Oryctolagus cuniculus: one gene and its partner. The protein of the gene in region 2 purifies or fractionates together with the protein of the main gene of each other region. This does not show direct contact. Links are inferred from orthologs where the notes say so. Each region holds a gene or a part of one and is shown on either strand. Other genes may lie near its edges.

Region 1 (3,649 bases), on a different chromosome or scaffold from region 2:
TCCCTGAGATGTGGCGACCACGAGACGCGAAGGCAAATGGCGCGGCTCTGTCACGCAGTCACATTTAGGGGTGGGCGTTGGCCAGTGTGCTCAGGACTAGTGGTGAGCGCCTCTAAGTGCAGAGAGAAGGCGAAGAGGGGGAGAGAAGCGGTGCAGAGTGCAATGCATGGCCAGCGGCAGAGATGGGGAGAGGCCTCTGCTCCAAACACAGCCGCGCCCCACGGCAGAGCTGGAGGGGGGTAGATGAGCGTGCAGTCGGGGTCTCAGCTTCTCCAGGCCCTCTCCGACAGGGCGGGTGCGGAGGTGGTCCTCGCGCTGTGCTCTGTCACATGTGGTCTCCCCGTCCCTCCGGGATGAATTCACAGTTGCTTCAAGTTCAACCAGCGGTTTTTCCTGAATTTGGCTGAACAGGTCAACGCTCAGTACAGCAGTTCTGGAGCGGCTGGTCACTGAGGTCGCATTGGGACCCAGGGTCACGAGCTGCCAGGGGCCCCTTGACAGGCCTGGGGCGGAGCTTAGCAAAGGGGGTAGGAGGGAGTTGGGAGGGCTGGGGGTTAGTGTGAAGGACAACTGCAGTGTCTCACCCCCAGGGTCATGCTGTCCAGCCCCCTGCCTCCAGGCAGACAGGGGCCAGGACCTCAGAAGCGTTCAGGGCCCCGACAGGAAGTTCCCCTCCCCCCACCCTCCCACCCCCGCTGAATACAGGCTGCTTTGCTCTTCGAAGAGCTAGGGCATGTTTGCCTCTATGTTCCGGGGGTGCCAGGGGCATGTGGCTGTCCCAGCCCCGACAGGACAGAAGAATGGATTTCCCAGCATTTAGGAGGGTGGCAGGTCTCTGAGGCCCACGGGGAAAGGGGTGCCAGGTTGGAGAGTGAGGCCCCCCGCCTCATTGGGCTCCGAGCCTGGTGTCCACCGTGCGCCAGGGCTGTAGCGGGTTTGGGGCCCCCTAATACAACAGCTCCTCCCGGGGGTCTGAGTACAGCTCGGCCAGCATCTTGAACCTGGGCCCCCAGTCATTGAGGAAATCGTAGTCGACGTCGGAGTCCGACGAGTGGGTGCCCAGGGAGCTGAGGGACTCGGCGATGGACTCGGAGCCCTCGTAGCCGTAGATGTGCAACGTGTCGTACGGGGGCCCGCCGCCGTCCTGGTCCGCCTCGTCCTTCTTCACCTCGATCATGGCCGCCATCTCCCCCGGCGGGCCCTGCGCCCCGGGCAGGTGCCGCGGCGGCTTCTGCACCTGCGCGTACAGGGAGGGCCGCGCATCCAGAGCCGACCGCGGGGCCTTGGCCTCGCCGCGCCGCACAGAGTTGAGCACCGACACGTCGTAGCTGGTGGTGTCCATCTCGCCGCCGCCCTCCTCGTCGTAGGTGACCAGCTGCTCGTGGATCTCGGGCACGCTCTTGCCGTGGGCGCGCGCCTGGTTGCGCAGCCGCCTCCGCAAGAAGATGAGCAGGGTGATCACTGCGGGCAGCCAGTGGGGGCGACAGGCAGAGTCAGCCCGCGGCTCCCGGCCGCTCCTGGGCCGCAGGGACGCCGCGCCCACGCCCGCGCCCTCCCCCGTGGCGGACCCGTGGTCCTGGCTGGCTATCGTCCTCGCTGGCGGGGGTGGGGAGCCTTCATCAAGTTCATCTCCTTCTCGGTCTCAGCCCCACTTCCCTGTGCTGCGCCCTTTTCTTCCCTGCTCTGACCACTGAGGCGGATCCTCCCAGGCCGTGTCCCAAAGACCAGGAAGCCAGAGGTTGCGGCAGAAATGGGGAAAGGGATGGACTAGGAACTTGGGGCGCCATCACTTTGCTAACTAGGATGGTAATAACGGAAAACGGTGGTGCTGGTAGCCACGGAGCCCCTTGCTGCAGTAGCATCTATTCTCTTAAGCACCAGCTGTATACATGCTTGGCACTCTTGGGCTCATTCTTGAGTCATCTCGCTCAAGGAGAGGTTATGATCCTTCTATGGAGTTCAGCTCCAGTTTAGCTAATAGAAACAGGGAGTCTCATGGTCTGGCTGTGGTGTAGACATGGACCTGTAGTGTGGACAGCTTCTAAAATGAGGCCCAGCCTCCCCCCCCCCCCCCCAGCCCTCAGTCACTTAACAAGCCGTTGCCTGGGGAAGTAAAGCCGGCGTGCTCAGGGAGACCCTGGTCTCAGGCTCACTCTCCCGGCCTGTGGGGTGGGAAGGGCCACTGCTGCCACGTGGCTCTGTGTGGGCGGGACCACTGCTGCCCTTGTGGTTACTGGCGCGTTTGCCCCAGAGAGGGAGGCTCTGGCTGAAGTATCCGGCTCCTGAACTCGCGCAGAGGGCAGACCCCAAAGTCCTAGTCAGTGGTACTAAGAGAAGGAAAACTTAAAAAAAAAAAAAAAATCTCTAAAAAAGTGTTAATGAGGCGGTGGGGTAAGAAAACTCCTTTCCTTTGGTGAACCCTTTAAATGCGTGTAGTGGCTGGGGCCGGGCCATGCTGAACCCAGAACTGGGAACTCAACCCAGGCCTTCCTTGTGGATTAGTTATGCGTTCCCCGCCATCTGCCGGGGCTGCATTAGCAGGAAGCTGGAATCCTGAGCCGGAGCCGGAGCCGGAGCCAGGTTTTTTTTTTTTTTTTTTTTTTTTTTTTTTTGACAGGCAGAGTGGACAGTGAGAGAGAGAGACAGAGAGAAAGGTCTTCCTTTGCCGTTGGTTCACCCTCCAATGGCCGCCATGGCCGGCGCGCTGTGGCCGGCACACCGCGCTGATCCAATGGCAGGAGCCAGGTACTTATCCTGGTCTCCCATGGGGTGCAGGGCCCAAGCACTTGGGCCATCCTCCACTGCACTCCTTGGCCACAGCAGAGCTAGCCTGGAAGAGGGGCAACCGGGACAGAATCCGGCACCCCGACCGGGACTAGAACCCGGTGTGCCGGCGCCGCTAGGCAGAGGATTAGCCTAGTGAGCCGCGGTGCCGGCCCGGAGCCAGGTATTGAACCCAAGTACTCCCATGTGGCACCAGGCTAAACCACTTGGCTAAACACCCACTTGAGGGTGGATACTGAATCCACTTATGGAGTTTAGAGTCTGTGGCCTATGGGAAGCAGTTTGATTGATTAGGTTATAAGAGTGGAAGCCCGGGGCTGGTGCTGTGGCATAGTGGATAAATTACATCCTGCAATGCTGACATCCAATATGAGTGCCAGTTTGTGTCCTAGCTGTTCCACTTCTAATCCAGCTCCCTGCTAATGTGCCTGGGAAAGCAGCAGAAGGTGCCCAAGTGCTTGGGTCCCTGTCACCCATATGGGAGACCCAGAAGCAACTCCTGGCTCCTGGCTTTGGCCTGCCCCAGACACAGCCATCTGGGGAGTGAACCAGCAGATAGAAGACCTCTTTGTCTCTCTCTCTGCCTCTGCCTCTCTGTAACTCTGCCTGTCAAATAAATAAATAAATAAATAAATCTTAAAAAAAAGATCTGAAACTTTGCCTTTCAAGTAAATAAATAAATCTTAAAAAAAGATTTGAAAGGCAGAGTTACAGAGAGGCAGAGGCAGAGAGAGAGAGACAGACAGAGAGAGAGAGAGACAGAGAGAGAGAGAGGGAGAGAGAGAGAGAGAGGTCTTCCATTCGCTGGCTCACTGCCCAGATGGCCGCAACTGCTGGAGCTGCACCAATCTGAAGCCAGGAGCCA
Region 2 (3,649 bases):
AACAAAACAGCAAGCCCCAAAGGCTGGGTCCAGGATTGAAGGGCATTTGTTGAAACGCATGGCGAACCTTTAGATATGTTTGGGTGATTTACACGCATCATTAGACAGCTGTGGGAATATCTCATCCAAACCGACTGAACGTCAACGGGAGTCACGCTGAAAGAATCCACGCGACCCTCAGCACTAGGAGCTGACCTCCACGACCCTCTACATTGGCGCCGAGGCAAACGCAGTGGACTCCAGCCTAGTTGTAAGGATAGAGGTTAGGAAAACAGCTAAGGAGTCCTCGAAGAAGCAAGCCGCTTGCTTTGAATGCTTCCACTGCTTTGGAATCAGACCACTCAGCAATGTCTACGGAGCACACGGGGTCACACATGCAGTGGGATTTGAAGGGTCCGGGAGAGGCTGTGACACAAGAATCTCTCCAGACAGCTGACCACCAAACCCAGCGACGTCACCTAGCGTCTGTCTGAGGCTAGCCCTGGAAACGTGCCAAAGCCTCAGAGCAAGGTGCTAGTCCTCTAAAAGTCTGGTAGAGAGAAGTTTACCTGGGCAGGACCCTCTCTGGGGACACACACATTTTGGGAATGCCGTTGAAAGGAGGTGGGAAGTGGAGGGGAAATAGCGCAAAGAATGACTCCCCAAATCTGTCTGATTTCCTGCAGAAACAGAGACCTGGCTGGCGGGCTTGTGCACGAGACACACACTTAGACAGGTGCAGAGAGTGACACAACAGGAAACTTAGCAACAATCTCCTCCTTGGAAAATCATCCCGTTGGCCTTGAACTGTGCCAGACCACTTGGGCTGACCCAGAAGCACAGGCGCTGAGCACAGCACCCTTCCTGTGGACTCGTCTAGATCCTAAGCTCAGCCCACCATCACACTCCGCAAGCAGCAGAGATGATCCCAAGCACCTAGTCTTTACCACTACGTCCGATGACTAGCGCTATGGCAGGGAACGAAGCAGGAAACACGCCCCCTTCCTCTTGACAGAGCCCAGTGGGCGCCTCTGTGCTCATCCTGTCCATCCTATTCACCCCTGCGAACTTCTGGCCTTCCTCTAGCTCTCAGAAGGCATTCCACGAGCACGTGTCTACTGGAATACGTGAATGCCCAAAAATAAGGCAGAACAAGCAAATCCCTTGCAGACACGAGTGAATTACCCCAGCACAAGACTGGAAACAATCCTGTTATTATCGCTTTGTAAGATACCACCTCACCGTTATTAGCTTTTTTGTAAGCCTGGACGATTTGTAAACAAATAAGTTATGTGTGCACCAATCTGTTTCACAAGCTTGAAGAAGACAACCATCTTCACACAGCACCCAGTAACACTGCATTTAAGGCATCGACTTGACTAGGCAGGATGAGCCCGAGTCCCACCCTACCTAAGACTACGAGTTGTCTGACCACGCAATGCCTCTTCTTGGTCTTCTTGTCTTGAGCAAAGCAGACATAGTGGCCCTGGTCCTGCAGGGAAGCATTCTGGAACTCCGTGATCAAAATGTCATTGGTGCTGTTGGAGAACACGGTGGCATTCAGTCTCGCGAGAGCACCCAAGTTCTCGCAGACGGGCACAGGCAGCTCTCCTGCGTGGACCGGCAGGGCCTGTGGGCCGAGCTTGCACCACGTGAGGTTCTCAAACGTGGTCCTGTCTGCGGAGCACCACAGAGACACGGTCTCCTGCTCCGTGGGCTGGGTGCTCGGGTGCAGAGTAATCTCGGGACCCCCTGAAATGGAAAGCCCACAGTTAGAGCGCCCATGTGACCTGGCACGGCCCACCACTGTCCTCTCGGTGGCCCCGGACTGCTGCGACCGGCCCGAAGGAGAGAAGCCCCTGGGCCCCCACATCATGTACTGCACCATTCAGGTCCCAAAACGTCCCTCGTGGCCAAGATGTACTGTTTGGAAATGTCAATGAATTCCCTAGATACTCATCACGTCTCTACCTTGAGCTCTAAGGTGTTACAACGCAGCCGGCTAAGCTGCCATGTGCGACACCCCCATCCCACATCAGAGTGCCAGTTTGAGTCCCGGCCACTCAGCTTCCCAGCTGGCTCCCTACTAATGCACCCTGGGAGGCAGCAGCTAATGGCTCAAGTTCTTGGGCCCCTGCCACCCATGTGGGAGACTCAACTAGAATTCTGGGCTCCTGGCTTCAGGCTGTCTGAGCCCTGGCTATTGAGAGCATTTCATTAGAAGATCTCTCTCTCTCCCTCACCCTCTCCCTCCCTAAAAAAGGATTTTTAAAAAAGCCTAAGGGAGAGTTTAGATGACTCCTGACTTACAATGAGTCATCCTGGGGTTCTTCAACTTTATGGCAGTGAGAAAGAACATCCATGAAAATATTCTGTTTCTCACTTCCAGGACAGTGTTCAATATGCCACGTGAGCTACGTAACATCTTATTATAAAATAGGCTTTGTCTGGGGTGACTTTGCCTAACCGTAGGCTGGTGCACGTATTCTGGGCATATTCAAGATCGGCTGGGACAAACCATAATGTTCTGGAAGGTAGGAGTATTCAACGTATTTTCAACTTATGAAAAAACGCATTTTCAATCAACTCTCAATGTGAGATGATCCTATCAGCCTCAGTCAAGGGGCATCAGTATCTAATCCTAACACAGAATTTGAAAAATTAGCTCCCCACCAGTGCAGAACACCTATTGGCACTGGAGCTATGTTTATCACAACCAGTCAGCACAGCCTAAATATCTTATCTGACACAGTCAGCTATGGTTTATCCATAAAACTAAGACAAAGACAACTCAAACTAAGATTTGCTGATTTGCAAACTCAATCTGCTCTCGCGTCACCCGACTGCCTCCAGGAAACCCAACCCGTCTACTGTTGAACGAGGGCAGCAGAATTTATCGATCGTCAATATGGCACGCACATGCTACAGTCTCGTGCCCACACCATCAATATGGCACAGAGCTTGTGACTTAAAGCTCACGTGACATCATTCTCACTGCAGTGACGTCAGACACACTGGCATTTGAACATACGGACAAATCTGCCGATCAGCAACCCAAGTTCCCTTCCCCAAGGCCACGCCACTCACAGCCATGCAAGGACAGAGCCGGGCGGGGGGGGGGCACTGTGTGAGTGGTCCCAGCCAGCCCCCCGACAGCGGTACTCACTGGTCACGTGGAAGGAGATGATCCTCTCTCCTCTGCCCACTGAGTTGACCGCTTCACATTTGTACAACGCCGACACGTTCGCCGCTTGGATAACAAGGGTGCTCACAGTCTATGAGAGCAAACAACCCCAGGTCACAAAGAAAGCAGGCCGTGTGTGCTCAGGCTGAAGTCCCGGAGTCTCCACCCTGCCTACTGCATTCTCGCTACACCACTGACCACTCGCACAGCCACTGACCACTCGCACAGCCATGGAATTGTAACCACGCCAGCGCAGAGCTCACACGTTACACAGAAAGGGCTCTGGACACCACACACTTGACGAAGTATTTTAATACAACACCTTCCCCTTCTCGGGCTCGCAAAATCAGGATCACCTTCTAACAGACGGACGCATGAAATGGGGCGAGCGTTTCGCTTTTCTCCAACGAGCTATTCGGAAGTGAGAGGCTCTGCTAGAAGTCGGTGGTGTTTCCTAGCCTCCTTCATACACTAGCATACTAGCAT

Evidence for each region.
Region 1: the proteins of KDR (region 2) and CDH5 purify together in Homo sapiens (affinity purification with western blotting; 3 studies listed by BioGRID and IntAct, with this or other methods). This does not show direct contact. The link is inferred for Oryctolagus cuniculus from reciprocal best matches to the Homo sapiens genes KDR and CDH5.

Annotation. Positions count from the first base shown.
Region 1 is NC_091449.1:49,342,042-49,345,690, reverse strand, and holds part of CDH5 (cadherin-5), read right to left. Parts: intron 1,462-3,649; coding exon 947-1,461; 3' UTR 1-946. UniProt on the Homo sapiens protein: Cadherins are calcium-dependent cell adhesion proteins. They preferentially interact with themselves in a homophilic manner in connecting cells; cadherins may thus contribute to the sorting of heterogeneous cell types.
Region 2 is NC_091439.1:109,292,563-109,296,211, reverse strand, and holds part of KDR (vascular endothelial growth factor receptor 2 precursor), read right to left. Parts: intron 3,255-3,649; coding exon 3,146-3,254; intron 1,732-3,145; coding exon 1,390-1,731; intron 1-1,389. UniProt on the Homo sapiens protein: Tyrosine-protein kinase that acts as a cell-surface receptor for VEGFA, VEGFC and VEGFD. Plays an essential role in the regulation of angiogenesis, vascular development, vascular permeability, and embryonic hematopoiesis.